Linked DNA regions of Drosophila melanogaster. The protein of the gene in region 1 interacts with the protein of each later gene in a pairwise test. Each region holds a gene or a part of one and is shown in the gene's direction. Other genes may lie near its edges.

The links.
Region 2: the proteins of CG15482 (region 1) and aru interact in a two-hybrid assay, tested with the Drosophila melanogaster proteins (one large-scale study listed by BioGRID).
Region 3: the proteins of CG15482 (region 1) and hbn interact in a two-hybrid assay, tested with the Drosophila melanogaster proteins (one large-scale study listed by BioGRID).

Annotation. Positions count from the first base shown.
Region 1 is NT_033779.5:13,208,555-13,214,598, reverse strand, and holds CG15482 (uncharacterized protein), read left to right. Parts: upstream 1-2,784; 5' UTR 2,785-2,817; coding exon 2,818-3,747; 3' UTR 3,748-3,826; downstream 3,827-6,044. Other genes in the region: kek4 (kekkon 4), read left to right, coding at 1-1,590, 1,656-1,942; Pect (phosphoethanolamine cytidylyltransferase), read right to left, coding at 4,371-4,688, 4,754-4,939, 5,000-5,163, 5,822-5,934.
Region 2 is NT_033779.5:859,790-868,644, reverse strand, and holds aru (arouser), read left to right. Parts: upstream 1-2,783; 5' UTR 2,784-2,818; intron 2,819-3,584; 5' UTR 3,585-3,736; coding exon 3,737-3,768; intron 3,769-3,850; coding exon 3,851-4,247; intron 4,248-4,306; coding exon 4,307-4,450; intron 4,451-4,510; coding exon 4,511-6,082; intron 6,083-6,146; coding exon 6,147-6,326; intron 6,327-6,386; coding exon 6,387-6,479; 3' UTR 6,480-6,796; downstream 6,797-8,855. Other genes in the region: CG13950 (uncharacterized protein), read right to left, coding at 6,949-7,216, 7,288-7,881, 8,236-8,324.
Region 3 is NT_033778.4:20,953,351-20,963,396, reverse strand, and holds hbn (homeobrain), read left to right. Parts: upstream 1-2,487; 5' UTR 2,488-2,809; coding exon 2,810-2,966; intron 2,967-4,551; coding exon 4,552-4,858; intron 4,859-5,007; coding exon 5,008-5,137; intron 5,138-7,621; coding exon 7,622-7,709; intron 7,710-7,935; coding exon 7,936-8,483; 3' UTR 8,484-8,729; downstream 8,730-10,046.

The DNA of each region.
Region 1 (6,044 bases):
ACTGCTTGGCACTCATATTCCGAAGTGCCAGTGCCGATTGGCTATTGGACTGTGGAAACTGTCACTGCAAATGGAACTCTGGCAAGAAGACGGCCGACTGTCGCAATTTGAGTCTGAGTGGAGTCCCAGAGTACCTCAGTCCGGAGGTTCAAGTGCTGGATTTGTCACACAATCATATATTCTACCTGGAGGAGAACGCATTCCTCACGACCCACTTGCAAAATCTTCAAAAGTTACTCATCCGAAATGGCACCCTGAAGTACCTGAATCAGCGAAGTTTCACCCAACTGCAGATCCTAATAGAGCTCGACTTGTCCAATAATCTACTTGTCGACCTGCTACCCAATGTGTTCGACTGTCTTTCGAAAGTGCGGGCGATATTCCTGAATGGCAACCTGTTGCAAGCACTTCGCCATGGAGTCTTTCGTAATCTCAAGTATCTGCACAAGATCGAACTTAAGCGCAATCGCTTGGTTAGCATCGATGCCAAGGCCTTTGTGGGAGTACCACTTCTCTCGCAGATCTATCTGGACAACAATGAGCTGACCAAACTGAGAGTGGAGAGTTTCCAGGACTTGACTAAGCTCACAGCATTATCGCTGGTCGAGAATCCTTGGAACTGCACATGCGATCTTCAGATGTTTCGTGACTTCGTTATAGGCATGAACCTGTATACACCGCCCACATCCTGCCATTATCCTTTGCAGTTACGTGGTCGTCTGTGGATCGAGGATCAGCCGGAGGCGTTTGCCTGCAAGCCGAAGATTGTGTATCCAACACTCAGTACTTCCATCAACACTTCCAAGGAGAACGTAACGCTTATATGTCGCGTCCACGGATCTCCCAATACGGTTATTGCCTGGGATTACACCAATCAAGTATACGAATCCCGCTCCAAGCCGGTGAAAAGTCTGCAAAAGCAGCGCATCTACATAGAACTGTTGCGTGAGGATGAATCAAAGATTCGAAAATTCGGACATGATGTTTTTGTGTCACGTCTAACGATAGTTAATGCCCGTAAGAGCGATGAGGGCGTCTATACCTGTCTGGCGGAAAATCCCGGTGGCAAGGATTCGGTTCACATAAGTGTGGTGGTGCAAAAGGATATGGAAAGGATTTCCCTCATCGACAGCAACTTCTTTGCAATAGTCTGCCTTATAGCCATGGGTTTTCTCAGCATGTCGATTCTATTTTCGTTGGTAACATGCCTAATATTTAAGAGATTCAAGCAGTTCCATCCCGGCCAGCACACTTATTTGCAACCCACTAGTTTGCCCGTTCAGTCACCTGGCAGTGAAGAAGCCACCGCCATCAGCGCCCTAAGTTCTGGAGTTATAAGGGAAAGTAAAATAGTGCTGGATCCATTAAGTGCTATCAATGAACCATCAAATAAAAATTACACTTTATTTAAAACATCCAATTCGAATGGCAGCGAGTATATGCACACGAGAAATTATAAAGACGTGAGATTAAACAGCAACACATATACTGAAAATCTAGACAATCAGGCGGAATCCATTTCATCGCGGAATCGGGAGCTCTATTCAAATATAGCTGGTGACCGGGAAAAGGAAGAGCTCAAACAGAAAGGCAATAAAATGCCAAATAAAATTAGTGCTCAAATTTTAACTTATTCTTGTTTTTCTCCTACTTAGATGAGCTCGATAAGGATTCCCGGCAGAGTTCCTTGCAATCAACAGGCTGCTCAAGAAAGAAGGGACAAATCGATGAACTCCAACCGGACCTTTTGCCTTCCACTCAACCTACTGCCTTAAAAAATATTAATGAAACTTTCGGTCCATCAGCGAAAAAAGCAGAAGTTAATCCCCGAAGCAAGTACAATACCAATGTGCAAAAGTACCTAAAGGAGAAGTACGGCAGTGTTAGAATAAAGAATATCAGTACTAAAGAACCCATTACTGGTGTTGATATCTCAATATAATATATTAATGTTTTATAATATGGCATTTCCCACCATACACAGCTGCGAATCCACCGTAAACCCCATGCCATTGAAATTTTAGTCTTTGCCAGGATTTCAATTCATATCCAGCCCTACCTCTCTAAGACCTCCAGGAGATAGATGGACAAAGGAGATCCAGTCAAGAAGAAATATACCTCGCCTTATTTCTGGTAGTAAATTATGTATTTTAAAACGTTACTAATATATAAAAATATTTATTTACACAGTTCTAAGTGTTTTAACCCACGCACTTTAAGTGAAAGGAATGTAATAATAAAGTTTTAAGTGATGCCTTTAAATGAAAAATGTGTAGCTTACTTGAATTAATCTTATATTATCATCGAATTCTAAAAAGCATTTTTAGTAAATCGTTTGATTTTATTTACCTGACCCACTTTTACCGTACTCTACGTTCTATCATCCCTGACCTACCCCGAATTCATTCTTGTGTGTGCTACAATTCCCAACTGCTTCTGGCCGTTTGCTCATGGAGACCCTTTTCGTTTTCCGTTTCAAGTTATCGCTTCTCGGCCTTATGGCTAAGATCAAAGTGTAGTATCTGTTCTTATCAGCTTAACATCTGATAGTTCCTCCATTGGAGGACAACAAATGTTAAACTGATTTTTGGAATCAGACGGAGTGCTAGGGGCTTGCTCCACCTCTGTCGCGGGTTGGCCCGGTATTGCAGTACCGCCGGGATTTCGGCCCAACTGAATAATAAATATTTAACTATTATAAAATCAAAAGGATCTACTTGTCAACACAGTAGACTTTCAAAAGTTGCTAGTATCTGTCTATCTGTCTAGTTTCTTATCAAAATTATGTCGTTTTGGCAAGCCTGATTACCTACCACAATGACTGCGCCATTTACCTCGCGTACCAACCAGGCCGCCGATTCCGGCAAAGATCAATCTCCCATCCATGGATTGAGCCGGAATCGAAAGCGTCAGGAGAGGCGAAAGCAGCGCCTGCAGGAAATGCAAGATTTGCTGTACACGAAACACTTTTCCAACTACAGACTGCCGGCATCGGTGGCCGCGCCAGCTCCCGAGGATCAGCTGCTCCTCAAACTGCAGAACTTCGAATCGCTGACCGAGCAGCCGTCCAGCAGCAGGAAGAGCACTGCGACCACATCTAGCGATTCGCCGTGGAGCCGACTGCGCCTGGTGGCATGCCCATGTCACGGATGCCTATGCTCGGTTGACCCCAGCGCTCTGTTGGGTCACTATTTGAGTGACCATCTGCCGGGAATGGGAGTTCCGTTTTATGAACTGGAAATGGGCAAGCGAGTGTCACTAACATGTCATATTAGTAGCCTGGAAAGAGATGTCAACACCCTGCTGGGGGTCTATGGCTATCGGCGCACTGGCCTTAATCCTCTGAAATGTCACCGAAACACCCATCTGCCAGTGGAGTACCGCCGCTTCTCGCAGCATAGCGCCCTTATGATCTTCGCCTGCCGCACCATGCACTCGGTGCTGTGGGAAAGGAAGCGTGTCAAACACGAAGTCCTGGCCATCTGGGTGGCTACTCCTTTGCACGGCGTGGCCATCACTCTGCGCCTGCTGGTCCAACCTGCCAACCTGCCACGTTACTACACCAGACAGATAAAAGCTCGTCCAATGCTGCCACTGTCGTCGAACCAATCCTGCAGTGAGTTCATCAAGACCGACAGCAACGTGATCCTCATCAGCTTGAATGACCTCCGGCCACTAATGGATTTAGATGTTTGGCAGCAATCGCTAACCGTCGAACTGAAAGTGATTAGCGAGGCAAGTATATAAAACTTCCGGTTTTTTTTTTTTTTGGAATTCGCAATATTTTTGGCCATGTATTTAAGTCTAAGATTAAACAAGGAAACATAAAACTTGAACTCGCACTTACTATATGCATTAATAAATTAGGACAAAGTATCAGAGATTACATTTGATAAAAGCAGCTACTTCCTGATCCAGGCATCCTACTTCCGTTGCTGAATATATATACATACAAGTCGTACAAGGCTTTTCAATTCGGCAACAGTTTGGATAACATGCTATTCGTACAATTTTGTTGTTCCTCACACTTACATCGTACTTTAAAGGGAATTTACAAATTTTGAGCTTACATACATAAAATTTAGATTTTAAATATTCTACGTTAATGTGTTAGAAATATATAATTATGTGTATAACCTTATATCATTAAGGCGCATGTGCAGATATTCTAAAATTGTACTAGAAATCGAGAGAGCGGTGCGCTGAATCCTCAGGCAGCGTCGCTTCGCTTTTTACGCAACAAAAAATTAAAGCGCCATCATCAGGGGACGACATACTAAACAAGACAAACTAAATAAAACAAACTAAAAGAACGCAACTAGAAAATAAAAAACATCCGTCTAGTGTGAGAGGTCGGAATCTGGTTCCGGCTAGCCGGCCTTTTGGGTCTGTTTTTGGCGTTGAAGTGCCTCAAAGGCTTCGATTTCCTTCTTTTCTTTGGCCTGATTGCGACGCTCATATTCCAGTCGGTGCGAGATGATGCGCTCCACGATGCGCTCCGTGGTCATCTCGTTGCCGGAATCGATCAGCTCAAAGATGGCTCGCGTCTTGGGAACGGCATATGGATCGATCTTGCCATTCTCAAGCGCAATGGGTGTGCGTCCATGACAGACAACATCGATTTTGAAGTGCTCAAGCAGCTCTTCAGTGACACAGTAGGGAGCTCCGATTACTACCTCATTGACAAACTGGGGGAAAAAAGAAGTTTTAAAATGAGATAATATTTAAAAAAAAGAATCTATTGCAATCCTACCTTGCAGGCCAAAACACTGAGCACGCGCTCGTGCAGATTCATAATGGGATAGTTGCTGCCCTTGTAGGAGTTCACCACGGGATCTGTGTGCAGGCCAACAATCAGATAGTCACCCAGTTTCTTAGCCTTTTCCAGAAAGTCCAGGTGACCCACATGGAAGAGATCGAAGGCGCCAGCCACATAAACCTGCAAATACCGACAATTATGAATTATACATTATATACATATAATGAGGGCTAAACTTACAATCTTATCGCCGGGATTCGGTGACTTTCCATCACTGAACTGTATGATCTTTTGGGTAGTCGGCAAGAACTGACTACAACCGGTCCACGGACTTTTGGCTGCCGAATCTTGACCCATGTTCGAAGAACCTGGATGGGATTTTATTTGTCGTTTTAAAATTGACACTTTTTTTGTTTGTTTTGTATTGTAAAGCAACGCAGACAAATGAGCAAAAGTGTGTATTTAAGAGCAAAAATTTACGTTTAGGATTTGATTTCGATTTGGATTCGGATTTGGATATTTTGATTGCAGGTTGGTCATTGGGCATTCGGCATTTGGATTCATTTCGCGGGCGCGCACACGCACAAAACATTTAGCATAGTTTTCATAGGTTTCATACATTATATTATATTTTTGATAGTGGTTAACAGTGCGTACATAGAAATAAAAAGAAGAGAAATAGTAAAGTTGTAGAGGGCAACCATAAACCAAGGCGTTATTTGCGTTCAACTATGGCAAATTAAAAAGAATCTATTGGGGAAAATGCATAAACTAATCGTGCGTAGCCCATGTATAAACTGAATATATCTGTATAATATTGTTCATACTTGTAACTGATTGATCGACTTTGATTTATGCACAGCATGCAAGAGCAATAAACAAGTTCGACAGCAGGAAATGAAAGACAAAAAGAGTGCAAACAAAAAGTAGTCTTAAAATTAAAGTTAGTAATGGTTAGAAACAATGAATTTGGCGCACAAATTCACAGTGCTCGCTGTGATTTAGGAACATTAAAATGAAAATAAAATGTGCCAGAAAAGCGTTGGAACAAGCTAAAGCTACCTTCTTTCTCGATATCATATTCCGCGGATCCTTGACGGAAGTGGTTGCGTGTCAGGAGCAACATGCGGCCCACAAGGTCAGTGGTCGAGACTCCAGCTGTGCGTTTCACTTCCCTGCGGATTGCATAAGAAAATTTAAGGTCAGTAATTGGAAAAATGTGCAGTACGTGCTTTACAAGACAACTGGCAGCTTATTAAAGGTTAAGGCAAGATGTACATAAGGT
Region 2 (8,855 bases), about 12 Mb from region 1:
GATGAAAAGTTTGTGGGGACGAACTCGTATTAATTCTAGTTGTTTTTAAAAGCCAATCTCCAAAAATGCAATGGATACATAATGCTAATTCAGCATATAACATGCTGAATACCTTATACTTGTAATAAAATTAAATTAAATACTTATACAATAATTTTGATTCTATTGCGGTGCCCGCTAGTGTAGAGAGAGATCTCTTTCTCTCCCTCTCTCTCTCTGTCGCACTCTCTCAACAAGTGGCTTAATACAAATATATACAAACAACTCAAAAGGCCAGCGAATGAGCCAAGTTAGTACGATTTCTGGTACCGGACTGACATGTACTAACCGCGCTTAAACAGCGGATGACGCTCGCGTGCGTTCCACAATAACAACAAAAACAGTATCTGAAAAGCCACGGCAACAACAACATTGGCGTCGCGGGGCTATTGTTATTCGTACGTTTATTTTCCGCAAGCGACAGAAAAATAGAAAATAGAAAAACGGTCTGTGAGAATCAAAAAGAACGGAGCGAAAGAAAGCCGTCTTAAAAATAAAAATCAAAGAGGAGCGAGAAAGCACTAGACCAAAGGCGGCGGCTGCCAGAAAAGGACGGAGAGAACGGCGAAGACAGGTAATAAGGAGGTGGAAGAAGAAGAGAGGATTAAGTGCTGGACTACAGTTACTTTTAATGTTTGAATTAAAATTGAAACAATGCTCGAGTGATCGCAGTTGTAACGCCTAAAACCGAAGCTAAACCCGAAAATAAGCCCGAAAGCCAGTTGAAATGCCAAGCAAACGTGACAGAGACTTGGATTATTCGTGCTAATTAGAAAAAGAATGTGCTGCTAGGTGAGAGGATGATATCGAAATGCTAACGTGATATCGATACCTGTGTGTTGTGCGTGTGTGTGCGAAGGGAGTGTATACACATACATATGAATATCACACATTTCACCGGAAAATGCGGTCAATTAGAATAATACATACAGCGAATTGAGCCTGTGTCTGTGAATTAGTGAATGAATTGAACAAAGCATTGAAAATCAATACGAAACCTGCCGCCGCTCCCACTTTTGTACATACAGTAATGCGTCGGTGAAGTAATACTCGATTGCGGGAAATCTGGAACATATACTAAGTTCAATCATTTGAAATTGGTTAGATTATTAATTTAAATAATTGCCTAAAGAGCTTCAAGGATGTTATTTTCAATTAGATTACTTATTTGAGGGTCCACTGTATATCCGCGCTCGCACATTACTGTGAAGCCTCACCTGTGTGAGTGCGGCTTATAGGCGACGTGTGTGTGTGTGTCTGAGAGAGGCTCGTGGAATATAAACAGCGCACAGTGAGAGAGGAAAACGGAAAACAGGTGGAAAAGAAAGCTTAAAAAATGCGGTCGGTCAAAAACTAAAGTTGCAGCAACAGGCGAGGGGGTGGCGGGTGCCGGGGGGCTCGAGACACGGAGACAAATACCTTTTCAAGCCGCACACACCAGCGCAAGCAAAGACGTCAGCTTATCTGCCACGCATGCGCGCGAGGGGGACGACAATAGTGTGGATCGGGGTGTCGATGTCTCTCCACCCCCCTCCAGCCCACCACCATCTAACGAGCGGGTTTCCACCCAAAGAACAGCAAAAACAACTATTGTCATTTGTTGTTTTGCCATTTGCTTCGTAAACCAAAAAGTATGCGAGATAAAATAAAAAAGCAAGTGTACCGCACGCCGCCGTTTTATCTAAATCCCAGCTGTCTGAATTATTTGAGGCTCTAACACCCCATCTCACGCTTATCAGGACCCAATTAATTATCTTCACCTGAATGGAAGCTATGCTTGGGGCATGTCTCCAGGTTTATGGTTCTTGTCGGGGAGTTCTTAGATACCAGTGCAGTTATGTATCTTAGATTGCCTTACCGAGGCTTATAATTTTCCCCTATTTACAGATGCATAGATACATATGTGTGGATTGCAAATATTTCAAGATTATAGAAGTACAAAAGTAGTAATACTTATATTATAAACATATATGTATTTCATTTAGCATAATGTTTTTGTAGATGTTTATGATGACTTAACTTAACTTCAAATCACCCAGCAGCTTTAGTACTTTCTCTAAAGCATGATTTATGCAAGCCCAACTATTTCCATGTTACCCAAGTGCGATAATGTTTATCGCGTTTCGTCATTGGCCTCTAAGCTGCTGTAGAGTTAGGAGCGAAAACACAAATCTGTCAAATTCCACAAGTGTGATGCAATTTGGGGCTTGTACGAACAGTAAAACGCTGAAATATAACACAGCGGCGCAACTTAACGAAAACAAAACATTTCCAGGGGTGTAGTGGGTCAGTGTTTTCTTTTTTACGTGCACTTCGCTTGTTTGTTTACTGCGATTTTGGCTTGTACAAGATCGTAAGCAGATAGTGCCTCCAGCTGACCCCCTCTGCAGTTTCTCTTTCACCTGTTTGCAAGTACACAAGCACCCAACACCCCCTTTCCCCTGTCCATTGACCCTGCGACACTGCTGGATTGATACACTGAAAACAATCGACAAACTTGGGGGTGTTTCTATCATGGAAAATGTTGTTAACATTTAAAAATGGTTAGAACTACATTCTAGAGACTTTCTCGCCATAGGATTATTATAATGATTTTCAATATCTTTATAAAAACAGTAGCGATTTTTGCTTAGTGTAGATAGGTATGCGACACCGCTGCCCGCGTCGCAGTCGGCGTCTGAGCCCAGCCTAAAACAGCGGAAAAGTTGTTGCTGTCACTTGAGTCGAGGGAGCGGTTTGGATAGAGTCTGCGAGGGTTAGAGCGAGAGGGAGCGAGAAAGTGTGTTTGCAAATCTCAGTTTTACGTGTGTGTGTGTGTCTTTTGCAGGTGTGTTCACTGGCTACACAGAAAAAATAAGAGAGATTTATCCGAGTGTTGAAAAGAATGTTACTGTGACATAGAACCATAGTTGGCCTAATTTTTGAAGATAAGAGCTATTACTCTACAATTACTCTCTATTACATCTACAATGCAATACAATTTGCTGCTGTTAATACAAATAAGATGAATATAATCGGAAGTAAACTATCCAAAGATATTCTCTGTGTAGTCAAAGTGGAGACACCGAGCTTAGAGGAGAACCTGGGGAAGTGGAAGTAGCGCGATTTTTGAATTCCAATGCTGATCCAAGCCAACAACGAAATGTTAAAGTTTGAGAATAATTGCGGCCATGTGCGGATCGCTTGGAGTGTGTATGCCAACGCTAGTGGAGGCTTGGAATCGGAATGCGGTCTGAGTCAGAGACGATTGGCTGCGCAATATCCAAGTGGCTTGGCGGGATTAGGGGCCTTCGGATGCAGAGGGACTTAGTCTCAGCTGCACAAAATAAACACAGCATAATGATCTAACACATACTTTAGGACCAATTTTCGTATTCGACACTCATAAGATTTCAGCTCGAAGACTCGGTCAGCGGAGGCTTTAAGGTCTTGAGAGACCAAATTGGGAACCAGACTTCCAAGGGGCTTAACCACACCCCTGCCAATAGGAAATTTAGTTTTGGGAATACTATTCTAATCAAGTTAAACATGTTTTTCGACAGCAGTCACGATATAATGTTTTAGTCATTGGAATAAGCGATTAAATGGGATTATTAAAAGCATACACATAATTCTAAATATTATTTTCAAATGACGATAGTTCAACTCGACCTAAGAAGCAAAAGTATAAGTTGGTAACGATCAAAACTTTTAATCAATGTTTAAGCTACTAAGTTCATCATTTAAACGGTAACTTATATTTTAAACGAATCAAAGACCGATATACAAAATTGTTGACGATGATGATGATGTGAAAAAATTTTATTTTTAGACGGAGCTTCAGACGTCGATCGAAGCCTGTACCGGGATTGGGAGACACCATGGTGAACCACCACTCGAACGGAGGCGGCAGTGCTGGAAACAGTAGCGGAAGCCTAAGAGGAGGCGGTGCCCATGGAGGCGGCGGCGGAGGAGGAGACTATTCCGGAGACGATCGCAGCGGAGGCGGCGAGGAGCGGGAGCGTCTGGAGAGTGACTTGCACGACAAGCCCACCTACCTGCTGGAACACCTGGCCACCTTCACGGTCAACAAGGAGTCCGGCATTGTGTATCCGGCGGACGGAATGCGTCGCCTCCTTCAGCTGGAGAAGACCACGGGTATTTGGTCGCAGAAGATGCAGCTCTGCCTGGACTATCAGTGGGTGCTAATTATGGACTATGAAACAGGGGTACGTTTCACAAACTGGGAAAGATCCTTATGGAACTCATCTTCATCCTTGCCTTACAGAACATAATCGAAAGATTCCCCGCCTCCTTGGTTCAGGAGCCCACCGCATTCACCTCGAATGACGCCATGGAGCTATACAACAACATTCTGGTCTTTATCGTATCCGGAGGCGGTGGTTCTCGCTCCGAGATGCACATATTCCAGGTGAGAATTAGTGAGGCTTCTGTCTCATGACAGTTTCATTCAAATGATTTATCCCTGCAGTCACAAAGTGTGTCCGCCGTTCACCTGGTTGAGGATCTGAAGCAGCTGAGAAGCGGCAAGATGATAACGCAGCAGCGCGGTGCCACACCCACTCAATCAGGAGGCGGAGGAGCCTCCAGCATGGCCATGATGATGAGCAAAACCTCCTCGTCCTCGTCGCATAGTAGAGTGGAGCTGCACCAGCACAGGGAGCAGCGGGCAGAGCGCGAGAGGGAGCGTGATCGAGACCGTGAGCGCGAAAGCCACCATCACATGCACCAAAGGAGCAGCATGGAACAGTATGGAATCCGTGCCGGAGTAGGAGTTTCTGGCGATGACGTTGCCCACATTAGTGGCGAGACGGATTCGGAACACGGTGGGATTGGGGGCGGTGGCGCAACGGAGCGCGATGAGACTAGCTCCACGTCCAGCGAGAAGTACGAGCGGGATGTGGCTGTGCTGAATCACTGTTTCGATGACATCGAGAAGTTCATAGCTCGTCTTCAGCACGCCGCCGCCGCTTCCCGGGAGCTCGAGCGCCGTCGTCGCAATCGGAAGTCGAAGAAAAGGGATCCGGGGGAGGGATTGCTCACTTTGAGGACACGGCCTCCCCACGAGAAGGAGTTCGTGGACATCTTTGCCAAGTTTAAGCTGTCATTTAACCTGCTGGCAAAGTTGAAGGCGCACATCCACGATCCCAACGCTCCCGAACTGGTGCATTTCCTCTTCACGCCGCTGGCTCTGATTGTGGAGGCCTCCAGCGACACGTACTACGAGTCACAGCTACCGGCCCGTGTGGTTAATCCCCTGCTGACCAGAGAGGCCATCAACCTGCTCATCAACTGTGTAACCAGCAAGGAAACGGAGCTGTGGCGCTCGTTGGGCGATGCCTGGGTGATCCCGCGAGATCAGTGGAAGGATGACGTTGGATCCTACCATCCGGTCTTCCTCGATGGCTGGTCACCGGACTATTTGATCAACGATGAACTGGAGCCACCACCAAATTCCCCGCCCGCTCATGTGAGCAAGCGCAGACTCGAGGTCCAGGCTGGATCCGGACTAAATGGTCGTGGGGGAGGCGGATACGATGACTACGACTCGGGGAACGGGATGAACATGGCCATGGGTATCGAGAAGTACACCATCCACCACGGCAACGACGGTTTAAGGGAGCGGGAAAGGGAGCGCGACAGAGAGCGGGCGGGCGCAATCAGTGCGTCTGACTTTAACGCCCGCAGCGAGCTGTCGTTCGACTCGATCGAAGGCAGGGGCGGCGGAGCAGCGGGACATGGCCATGGTCATGGCCACGGACCAGGAGCTGGACCAACCCTTAGCGCCATCACAGCTGGTCTGCAGAATCTGCATACGAGGGAATCTCGCAGTGGAAACGGGTACGGAGCAGGAGCTGGTCCGGGGCCTTCGTCGGAGTTGGGCGGTGGAGGCAGAGGCCTGCCGAATGTCAGCGACGACCAGATGCTCGAGTCCTGGCTGGAGGATCTGCAGGCGACGGGCGCTAAGATTGTGCTGGTCACCTATCCGCGAACCGCCAACAACGACAAGGAGCTTAGCGTGATGCGAGGCGAATACTTGGAGGTAAGGCCAGCACCCACGTTACCATCCTTCGTTCTGTCCTATAACCATCTCTTCGAAACTTTAGATCCTTGATGATACCCGAAAGTGGTGGAAGGCGCGCAACATGCGGGGTCAGGTGGCCCACGTGCCGCACACGATTGTAACCCCCTTCAATTTCGGGGATGGAGATGGAGCCCAGTTCTACGGGCAACAGCAGCAGCCACCGACGGGTCCCACAGGTCCGGGCAACAAATCGCGATCAGGGGTGAGTAAGGCTGGTCACTCAATTCATGATGGGACTTGCTAACCGCTCTACATTACCCAGGATAATCCCGGCATGGAACAGCGATCGCCGGATCCCACCGACATGATGCGCAGCAAGCATCTGGGCAAGAAGGGCGAGTTCCGCTACTTCTAGGATCGAGATGCGATCACCATATACATATACACATATTCCGTAGTGAGGATCTAGCGTTATAGAGAGACAGACATCAGCAGTTCCGTCTAGGATGCTAGTCCTGGTCACTAGCGATCGGATTGGCTCCAATACCTTGCACTCGCTCGCAGGAGTGTGCAAACCAGAACTAACCTTAAGACTAACCTAAGTGGAGCTCCAGACGGGAGCTGTTGAGCAGCACGTGGCTCCTGCTGAGGCGGATGCTTAAGCTGATGCTCATCCAGGCGAAAAGGGGAGGCGACGGCAATAATTTGTTTTAATAAAATTATATCCAAAGGAACCTGCCTATTGGTTGATGATTATTGAGGAGATTGTAGTTTGGAGAGCTGCTTTGCTTTATTTGGATGCTCACAAGAAGAAGTTAACTGGTGCTGTACGGTGATCAAAGCCAACGATTGAACAAAGAGCATACTACGAGAACTCGAATCGATTAAATGATGGACAACTTCTCCACGCGGGCCAGAAGCGGAGAATCGGAGTGGTACTCCAGGCTCCGCACGGCGAAGTCGCCCACTTCGTTGGTGAAGCACTTCAGAGTGGATATGGAGAAGGGGCGTCCGGGAAAGTTGTAGTAGGTGAAGTACTGCCCGTTGACGGCGATCAGGAAAGCCCGATCCCCGAGCCCAAAAGCGATCTTGAAGAGCTTTCCGCGCACAAATGGGAATTCGCCCTCGGTCTCCTCGTCGCTCAAGGCAAAACTAGAATAAGTGAGTAAAGGTGAATTCTCTTGGAGGAACTTTGCATATTGGAGTCTCGGACTCCTTTATACCTGTTGTCTTCACGCTGGTAGCTGCGTGACACGGTTGTCCGATCGAAGTTCACGTGGAACCGGAGCACCGTACGCCCGGTGTCGTTGCACTGGAAGCAGATGGAGAACTCCGTGGTCGGCGGGCCCTTGGCGATGCACTCCATGGCCACCACTGTGCCGGTTTCATACCGCCTGGGCACGTCGCTCTGGAAGGCCACCTTGTCCGGACACATGAGCGTTCTGGGGAAGACGAGCGGAAAGAGCATGCGGTGGTGGAACTGGGTGATCTTCTCGAAGTCGCCGTAGGTGCGCACGTAGTTGATTTGCTTGGGGAACTTGACGAACTCGAAGGACCCGTACAGCTGGTCGTTCACGTAGATCTCGAAGCATCGCTGCAGCACCGCCACCCGGAAGGTGAAGCTCTGGCCAGGCTGCAGCGGGTTCTTTGGGCCGTCGCACTTCCAGTTCTTCGAGATCTCCTCCTGCTGCCATCCCCCGCCCGGCTGGAACATGCTGCGGATGATTTGGCCCTCGCGGAAATTGGCCTCGATCTTCAGGAACACCGTTTCGCTCTCGTTCTGCGCGTTCACATTGTCCGTGAGGTCCAGCGAAATTCTGTCCGTAATTCGAGAGGTGTCATTAGTAAAAAGTATTAGATATGGATTGGGAGGATACTCGGCACTCCCCCAAACTCGCTAAGGATACCCATTTCATTTCTGCAAATCTCTGTCACAGCTTTATAAGCCTTTCGTTGGCATTAGAACTGCATTGTTTTGTCAATAATCGGATAATTCGAATACCATTTATACTTAATCTCTTTTTACTTTTTGAACTAATTGGTTTATTTCATTTGGTTAATTTCATTTGGTTAGAAAATCAGCTTCTACATTTGACCTTTGACTTTAACCCAGATCAAAGCGGTATTCTTTTAGTGGAGAACCGGGTATCCAAACTATGAAAGATGATTACTTATTCGGATGAGGCTTGACGCGCCCACTGACGATGAGGACGTGTCCGAATGGGACCTCCGTTAGGACCTTTGCTTTCCAAACGTTCATCGCGGCTCCACGGCTCCACTGCAACTGAGTCGACGAGTGCGAATCCTCGATGGAATCCAGCCGGATCCGGCGCCGTTTTATGCGCCCTTATGCTAATAGATTCGCCATCCGTCGCCTTTCCTCGTTCATTTGTTGTGATTATGTAAAGGCGGGTGAAATGGGGAATTACCTGCAGCCGCATGCAAACTTGACATGGACGTGGATGTGGACGTGGTAAGGTTACCCCCAGGCCCATGCCCGAACCCACCCCGGTCGGAGCTCAACCCGTTCAATCGAATCCCATATAAATCCACTCGGTGGTGGCTCCCTGTCCCCCTGGCCACCTAATAACCGACCCAGTGAGCCGCGCTCCATGACGAGAACCTTGCGCGTTTATTTATTTGATTCAATCCTTGCCTTTGTAACCCATAACTGTCATCCTCGAGTTCTTTTCACGGTTGCTGTCACGCCCCCAACTGCCGACTGCCCATTTGTTGCTAGTTACCAGCGACACTGGGAGAAAAACTAGCCAAAGATAAGTTATTATCCTTA
Region 3 (10,046 bases), on another chromosome or scaffold:
CGTTGCGCATGTCCCGAGAGAATCTCTCGACCAGAGAGAATTCTGCGAGAGGACTCGCAGCTGGAGGATATCTTCTGACTGCCCCCCATTCCGGCCCCAAATAGATGTGCTAATTTAGAAATTACAATGAAGTGCAGTCTTCAATGAGTTTGAGTTTGAGTTTGGCTTTGATTCAATTTGTCATTTCACACTTGGCCTAAATGGCTTTCGGTTGCATGGGGCGGGGTGTTGTAAGAATGGCTCCTACAGCTAAATTAATTGAAAGTGTTGAAGAGCACAGACAAGTTGAGCTTGGATGGGAGGAAGAGGTCCTGTAAAGCGACAATATTGATTCGCAATTACTTACACTCAAGCGCATCAAATTTATAATGTGCTATTGTTGGGTAAGGCATTTGCCTAATAAAAATATATGTACTGATGATTTTCCAAGACTACTATTTAGCCTTTCTCAATCACCCATCAAAATATAAACCATTTGATAAGAGATTACCTAACGAATTATAGCTACTTAAGAACTAATTCCTCGTATCTTCAATCCAAAATGGGCAATCAGATTGCCCTTGGATAAAAAAGGGCATGTCCTGGGCTGGATTGAGGATCGGCAATTAGTGAGGAAGGAGCCCTTTTTTCTTCTGTTTAGCAGTCCTAATGAGCCGGCGATTACGACTAAGTGCGCTGATGATGCTGCATAAATTTTGGTGGCCGGCGAGCACTATGCATTCCACATTAGATTAGAGATTCCGAGGCTGTATGATCTGGGCAGGAACGCAATCCTAAGTCTCGAGAGATGCCCTCTGCAGCTCTAAATTAAACGAACATGCAATCGGATTGCTGAATGAAATCTGCATAGGGAATGCGTCCTATGAAAATATGATTAAGCGCCTCGGCAGACTAAACCTAATCCTGCGTCCTGTTGAGTCCCCGTGTCCTGTGGCGTCATGCATCTGGCACATTAATGAGTCCGGTCAACGCTTTGTCCCGCTTACTTGTTCACAGTTTTCGCGGAAATTACGTGTGCACTTTTCCCGATTTTCCCGGCTGAAGGTGCCGCGATCCTTGGCTTTGTTTGGGTTCGGGGCACAAAGGAATTGTGTAAGTTTCGACAAATTAGAGACCATAAATCCCGGTCCCTGCTTTGTTATCATTGTAGCCGGCGTTTTAGCACACCATGTATCCTTCGGGCATTAGATGGTTTTTCTTTTTTCGGGAACCACTTTTGGCCATTTTTGGCATCCTTTTGTGTTATGCAACCTGTGGGTGGACCAGGGTTCTGGACTAAATCTTGGATAGAGAGCCCTGTCTAAACTGAAGCTCAACGCAAATCCCAGATCTAAGTGGGTGATTTAAACAAGGCTGAGCTATTTTCGGTTATTTAATCGTAGCAAAACCAGGGCCTACATATTTTTAGATCCTTTTTGGTTGGTGCTACTTAAAATATTACATTTTTATCATTAAAAGGAAACATGCAGAAAATATAAGATTGGTAGGAAATCTTCATAGTATTTAGATAAATATATGTATTAAATTTATTTATGTATTATTATTATTATGTATTTATGCACTGGCTATTAATTAAAATGATTTGAATACTCATTAGTGAAATCAGTTCCGCACTGTACCTGTTGCTTTTAACGAAATTCAATGCGGCCGAAATCCTTCGAGATGAGATCAGTTTAATCAATGAACTTAGGTTTCGATCCTGCCACAGTTCCTTGCTAAGTAAAGGGATTCATTGATCGTTTGGCTTGTTCAATGAAACCACGGGCTCATTCTCAAGATCACGGGGATCCTGGCCATAAATCTATCGCCGAAATGGAAGCGGAACTAATAAAAGAGGACCTGGCAAATGGCCGACTTGATTCAGGTACCAGTTTGGCAATCCCGTGAGTGGTTCAACCTGTTTTGTGATTTGTGGATGAGCCGGGAAACGGGAGGGAGAGGAAACTACTGTGAGAGAGAGTGAGATATATATAAAGGAAGAGGGGGAAGGGTGAAATAGTTTTTAACAAGCGAAATTTGTGAAATAAACACAATTAATGAGCAAACCATGTTAGTTACAACTACCGAAAGAGAGTGCATTAAATGGGTAGGAAAGAGAAAGGTGTCAAGGAAAAGTACCAGAGAGATTTGAAAAGAGAGACAGAGAGAGAGAGAGAGTGGAGGAGGCCAACACCCCTAAGCCAAAACCAAAAGCTACCTGCAACCCAAACTCACACACACCGAGCGAGCCAACCCAACACACAGATACACGGCACTGAGATACTGAGATACTGGGGGAAACTACCCCTACAGCAGGAGAGAGAGGGAGAGAGCGAGCGTGTGCGAACGAAAGAGACGGCTGGCATGGCAGGACATGGGCGAAAGCGAAGGATTGGGAACTGTGATTCCGATTCGGATTCGAGAGCGAGCGAGCGAGCCTCGCCCATTTCACTTGCTAGCGAAAAACAGGCAACGTATTTAAACCTACGGGCGGCAGGAATCGCACTCAGTCGGTGGTTGTTGATCGTCACGAGCACTACTCACTCGCAGTTATTCACTCGATTCGATTCAGCTCATTGCAGTTCGTCGCAGTGGCTGTTCCGTATTCCGTATCGAAATCGCATCGTTTAATCGACAAATTTACCCGATAATAGCAATTAATTAAGCTAATTTTCAAAGCGTGCTCAACAAATATTGTGACATTAAACAAAAGTTGCCAAAAACGAAAATCTGGAAAATCGCTAACAAAATAAGAAAAAACCAACTTGTAGCAAGTGAAGTAAACCAATAGAAATCCGTACGGATCGCGAGTTGCTCTTTTGGTGGAGCTATGATGACCACGACGACCTCGCAGCACCATCAGCACCATCCAATCATGCCGCCAGCCATGCGCCCCGCCCCCGTTCAGGAGAGTCCTGTCTCACGCCCCCGCGCCGTCTACAGCATCGATCAGATCCTGGGCAATCAGCACCAGATCAAGCGCAGTGGTGAGTTTTAGTTTAACAAATATAAACTGGGGATAACTTACTGGAATGTAAATGTAAGGGGATCCTTTTTACAAAAATTCATCGTTTGCCGTCGGCGATCTGCGTTAGAGTTTCTTAGTACATCACACAAAAAGCTTAAAAGGAAACATAATCAAGATACAATAATTGCATTTTCTTAGAGAATCTTAATAAATTGTTTAGCTTAGTTTGATTTAAAAAATCCAATATCAAAATTAATTTGTGAATAGCTATGGGCAGGCGTAAACGAATTAAAAATTCTAAATTTGAATGTATAATTTGAATTGATTACGACCTATTTAGTTAGTCTAGCTTGTTAATTACAGCTTTGAAATATTTCTCACACACATCTTAAACATAATGAAAACATCCTGAATGCGTTACAACTTACCACCAGCAGGGCAAAATATCACGTTAGACTTCATGCACAGCCAATGGGCTCCCCCCCCAAATTTGGTGCTCCAAAATCCGAACCGTCCTCCTACTCCACTGACCACATCAAATAGATCCTTTCGCAAAGGAGCCGGAGCAGTGGAGAGGCAGATTGACATTGCCATCCATATCATATGCAAATTGCTCGCAAGGGACATTTTATCATAGTTGGGAAAGGTGAATGAGGGCAGTTCAAAACTTTCCGACAAACACCGACCTCGAACTCCACCCAGAGAGCAAAAAGAAAACATATCATGACAATGGGAGTTGTTCGGCATGTCGGAACTCTTGTTGTGGGCGTGGCCAAGCTGCAGGAGGCAGTTCGCCCAAGGATCTACTTGAGAAGAAAAAAAAAAACACTGTATCAAAACATATCTGGCCGGATATATCGCATGGAGAGCGGGAACGGGCAATTGCGTCATTAGACCCGTAATTAGATTGAAGTCCTCGGGAGAGGTGGAGGCTGGAAATTGCCTGGGCTGGATTCAGTGGAATCACGGCACCCATTGGTCCAGGTTGCAATTTGGCGACAACGAGCGGCGTGCGCACCGCAGGACACTGCATCCTGTGAGCCTCGTAATTTGATGCTCGCTGGAAATTACCTTCTTGCCACATGGGTCTGCGTAAATGTTACGAAATACGATAAGGATACAACCAGGACACGGGCGTCCTGCTGAGCGGGGACGTGTCCTGGTGCCATTGTGAATCCGATTAATTTGAGGTTCATTAAAGTTTGATTACACGTTTTGCCTTGGCTCGAAAAGAAACCGTTTTGAGTACTCACCAAATCGTTTCGTGTGAAAGGATATTTATATGCTCGCTGCCGTGGTATTGGGGTTAAAACTTATTCCGGCTTTATATTTATTTGTTATTGATTGCCAAATCAATTTGCGTAGCTTTCGAGCACTTGAAGGATTTGAATTTTATTCGAGACTGAGACCGTACAAAAAAAAGGGGGTTAAAATTGAGGATATAACTACTTCAGCCACAATTGAATGAACTTCAATTTCTGCAGCTGCCGTTTGGCTTTCGATTTTAAAAGTCAAACGCGAAACTTTTTGTTTCCCCACACACTCGAGTTCAATTCGAAATTGTTTAACTTTATTTCCCTGCCACTTTTTGTTTTTTATCGCAGATACACCCAGCGAAGTGCTGATTACGCATCCCCACCACGGCCATCCGCATCACATCCATCATTTGCACAGCAGCAATAGCAACGGCAGCAATCACTTGTCGCATCAGCAGCAGCAGCAGCACTCGCAACAGCAACACCATTCGCAGCAGCAGCAGCAGCAGCAACAATTGCAGGTTCAGGCCAAACGAGAGGACTCCCCAACGAATACGGACGGCGGCCTGGACGTGGATAACGACGACGAGCTGTCCTCCAGTCTGAACAATGGCCATGATCTCAGCGATATGGAGAGGCCGCGTAAAGTTCGAAGGTGAGTGCAGCGACAATCCGCTTAGCAGATCAAATCGTATTTACCCATTGTCGGGCTATTAAAAAACATGCCAACAAAGAGGAGGGGGGCAAACTCTTATCCGACGTATCTAACGTGCCGCCCTTGCCGTTCCTTTCGATTTTTCACAGATCTCGCACAACATTTACAACATTTCAATTGCATCAGCTGGAGCGAGCCTTCGAGAAGACCCAGTATCCCGATGTTTTCACAAGGGAGGATCTGGCCATGCGATTGGATTTGAGCGAAGCACGCGTGCAGGTAATTGAAATTGGTTTTCGATTCGCACAATTATTTTCGAATTAAGTTGCAGTTCAACTCGCTCAAAATGTATCTGTATTTTCATCTAACGGCTATGGGCTTTAAATATTGCCATCGCAGTGTCCGCTAATAAGCGAATAAACCACTTTCAGAGTCTGGGAACTTGAATGGCTAGATAAGAACGGGCAAAACAATCGCCGAACCCAATTTGTAAATGGTCTTTGAAACACTTAAGCCCCACTTTGTATACAAACACGCTTAGTTCGTTAGTCGGAGGAGGGTTGAATACGGGTGAATACGCGTCCCTTTTTCTCTATAGAGGGTTGGCACCAAGGACATTAGATATTGTGATTTTCCAAATGATTAAATCGTCCGCGCTCACATGGTGTTGGTATTTTTATTAACTCTACTTTCGGGTAAACAATTAAAGTGGCTTTGGGTGCTGACTGGCGGCAGGACACGCGGCCAAATATACCCGACTACACATGTAATTAGGGTGTCCTTTCGCCCCGAATCGCATACGATTTGATTTCAGTTGTGAAACGCTTTCAAACACTTCACATCTGATTGAGCGATTCGCTCAATTTCGATGCTGTTTGTTGACAGGGAATAAAAAAGCAGGGAAAAGTATGGCCTGGCACAAAAAGTGAAAAAAAACAAGAAGTGAAGAGAATGTGAATGTGAAACAACTTGACCTAAGCACTCACATAGGGATTACCCGCTTCGAATACAAATTGTCCGTTTCACGGTCGTCATCCGCATGCTCACATCCTCACATCCGCATTCTCATCCTGCGCGTCCTTGCACTTATTCGTATCTGTTAGCAGATTAACTGTAATTGGTCATTGATTCGCATATGCAGAGCGTTTCGGGTACTTGAATAGTAACCGACTTAGAGCTGCCCGATTTTAATACATGTGTTATTTTTTTTGCTGAGCTGCTGATAGATACAAAAGTATCCAAAGCGTAATCCCCGCTTGTTTTGGGGTTGGTAAGTGAGCAATTATTTTCGGATTTGCATGCTCGTTGTGTGGGGCATTTGGTGAAAAAAAAAGGAGTAACCAGCGACTTATCTGCCGGGTTAAGTCAAATTTTTATTGTCGAGTTGGGGTATCGAAAAAAGCGAAAAAAATATTGAAAGCGAATTTGTATCAATCTGGAAATTGTTGAAACAAAGCGTTTTTGAACGCTTTATGCAGTCTTTTTAATTGGAATATATGCAAAGAACTTTCACATTTGAAAATCCAAAATAACGAATTCTTATACAATTTTTTAAAGTACACATTTTTTTTTTGAGTTTACAAACCGCCTCTTCCAGTTTTTGCGACAGTTTCTTCTCTCGTTTTGATCGCACATGTGTGATAAATGCTGAACGGATATCCGCAATTCAACTTTTACTGCCTGGCTGCTCTGGCACAGTGGTTTAAGTTGTTGCCATAATAATTGCTGCCAACTGACAATTAAAAAGCCCACAAAATCGCACACACACACAGCACTTATGCTGTGAAGGGGTTGGGGGTGGTGGGTGGCGTTTTCTCAGCAGAGACACACACAGGACACAGGACAATAATTGGCAGCAATTATAGCAAGGAAATCGTTGCTAATTTACTACTCGCTCAACTGCACACATTGTTGCAGATTGTGGGTGGCCGTAGAAGGGGGTTACATCTAAATACAGGGTGTCTATAATTGCAGAGCCTTCTCTATTGTCTCGAATTCATCAACGAGCGTTACAGACAGTTGTCAAGTGATTTCAATTTACAAACAATTAATTTTGCCATCAAAAACGAGAGCCTCGGCTCGGACTGAAAATTCGTCGCCCCCAAAAGGCGGAAATGTATGTGCAGCCAACGCCTATTTTGTGGATGGCCTAGGGGGCACATTTGCATAGGGGTGAATTTGGGTGGCTGCGAGTTTGGTCCACCCCAAACCCAAGCAAGTGTCGAAAAATGCATAAGACACCCTTTTGTCCGACGAGCGAGACGGGTAGCGACAGACAGAGAGCGTTGCAAATCAGAGCAGAACACTTCCGATTGGATGCCATTGTATTTGACCTAACCCTCCACGGCGTCCAAGTCCTTTGGCTCAGACACTCGAGGCTGGAGGCGGCAGAAGGAGCCATCCAAGGACCAAGTGCTTCCAACTTTGCGAGCACACAGATTGATAGATTGGGAAATTGTTCGGTTTTTGGTCAAAGTCAAAGCAATTACAAGTCGCTTGCCAAGGCGCTAGTTTTGTAGAACTAATCAAGTTTAGATCGAGGGATAGATACCCTTTAGAAAAGTATGCTGGTTTTTGAAAAGTATACAGGTTGTATACATAAGTCAGAAAAAGGCATATCCTCTCTTCGGTAAATGATATATCAGATAATTTTATGTTTTTTATTACCCCTTTAGCTTATAATAGCCTTAAATCCGAGGGCACCCAAAATTTGCATACCTACAACTCCATCTCTAAACTCCCTTCTTTTTCGTGCACTTGCAGGTGTGGTTCCAGAACCGTCGGGCTAAATGGCGCAAACGTGAGAAGTTTATGAATCAGGACAAGGCCGGTTACCTTCTGCCCGAACAAGGTGAGTTAACCACCCCCATCTCACGAATCCACCCCATCAAATCCCAGCCATCACCCACCCAACCAGCGATACGCATTTGATTTGTCCGCAAATTGCCAAATTACGTGTGCAACATAATTAGGAATTATGTCGCTTGTGTCGCTTGTCTCACCACCATAACCACCGCCACCACCCGCTCTCTCTGACTTTCGACTAACGAAATCGCCCTTTTGCCTTCCGCTTGCAGGTCTGCCGGAGTTTCCGCTGGGCATTCCCCTGCCGCCACATGGACTTCCGGGTCATCCGGGCTCGATGCAGTCGGAGTTCTGGCCCCCGCACTTTGCCCTCCACCAGCACTTTAATCCCGCTGCAGCCGCTGCCGCCGGCTTGCTGCCCCAGCACCTGATGGCGCCCCACTACAAGCTGCCCAACTTCCACACCCTGCTCTCCCAGTACATGGGCCTGAGCAATCTGAATGGGATCTTTGGCGCGGGAGCAGCTGCAGCAGCGGCGGCAGCATCGGCCGGCTATCCGCAGAATCTATCGCTGCACGCAGGACTCTCTGCGATGAGCCAAGTTAGCCCGCCGTGCAGCAACAGCAGTCCGCGCGAGAGTCCCAAGCTAGTGCCTCATCCCACACCGCCGCATGCCACGCCCCCAGCGGGCGGCAACGGAGGCGGCGGACTGCTAACGGGCGGACTGATCTCGACGGCCGCCCAATCGCCGAACAGCGCGGCAGGTGCCAGCAGCAACGCCTCCACACCCGTCTCCGTGGTCACCAAGGGCGAGGACTGAACGCTGTTCCGTGATATTTGGATTCGTTATGTACATATATAGATACACGCATACTTGTAGATATCTAGTTTTATTCATGGTCACATAGCCCACGCACTGTAAGATATTTGCAGCTTTGTCGATTGCCAAAGTTAACGTAGTTGTAATGCCTAAAGAATTATGTATCTGTAAGCGATCTTCGAGCGAACATTTTGGTAGTCTATCCACTAAGTTTAAACTGTCGAGAAATAAACGATATGAAAAGATACTTGTTGCGTTTTATGGCTGGTTTGAAGATATGCTAAAAAGTAAGATAGATTGTTGATCAAAGAAATGAATTATTTCACTATAAAGATCTTACGTCAAGTGATCTTAAGTTATCACACAAAACATAGGATGTGTCGTTTCTTTTGTACATTCCTTGTAAACAGGTCTTTCAAATTTTCTAGCCTTCTTCACATATTTTCATTTTCAATGCCAAAATTAATCTCCCGGTTAACTTCCGTTAACGGGAAGGACTTTTATAATTTTCCACAACATACATACATACACCGATCTACCCGCCGCGCGGCAAATTAATCGCAAAAAGTTTGTACCTTAAGTAGGGCTTATGACCCTACAAAGATCCATTATGAATCGCTCAAATGCTACAATTGATTGTGTACAAAACTCGACTCGACCTTTCCTTTTTGCCAGAGTCAAATGAAAGCGATCTTGGGCCGAATATCGAGGATATTCGACGACCTACCCCGACAATCGAAGAAGGGGCCAGAGTTCAAATCGTATAATAATCTCGATATTATGTCAAAATTGCCGAGCGCAGGAAATGTTGCATAACATGTGAAGAGCAGGACAAGGAGCAGGAGACCAAGTAGACCAAGGAGCCGGAGAACAATGGGAATCCAGAAGGAATCTATCGCATTGTGCCAGACAGCCGTGTAGGAAATGCAGCTCTATGGGCTGGATGTGTCGAAGCCGAAGGATTCGCAGCGTATTCAAGTGGTGGTGGCTGCACAGAGGAACCAGACCAAGTCCTTTCATTCGAGGCCGCATGCAGAGCTAAATGCTATATTGATATCTCGTAATTTGTGCCATAATTACTTTTTAATAATTTCGCACAGCGCTCGTCCGCGCTGCAGGATATCGCATTGTGTGCGCGATGGCCTCAAATTTAATAATAAAAACGCCGTCAAGTTCCTGTTCGTTCGATTCTGTCTAGATTTTCACCGAGATTCGGATTCGCATTCGCATTCGGATTCGGGTTGCAATTTGATTACACTTACCACTCTCAGTGTTTTTTTTGGGGATGGGGCGAGGTCAGAGCCAAATTCCCTGCACAAATAATAATGAGCGAAATGCGCGACTTAACGGATTTGTCGCAGTCAAAAGGATGTGCCCGAAAGGACGAAGCAACCAGGACCAGTCAAAAGAAGCTCTCATAAAACTCATATGCAATTGCCTTTTGTGGCCGTCCTTTTGTGTACAAGGTAGCAAAAGACATCCGGCGAATGGAAGGTCCTGGCGACGAAGTTATACCCTTTCCTATCTGATTCTTCCAATCGATAGAACTTGGTATATTTAACC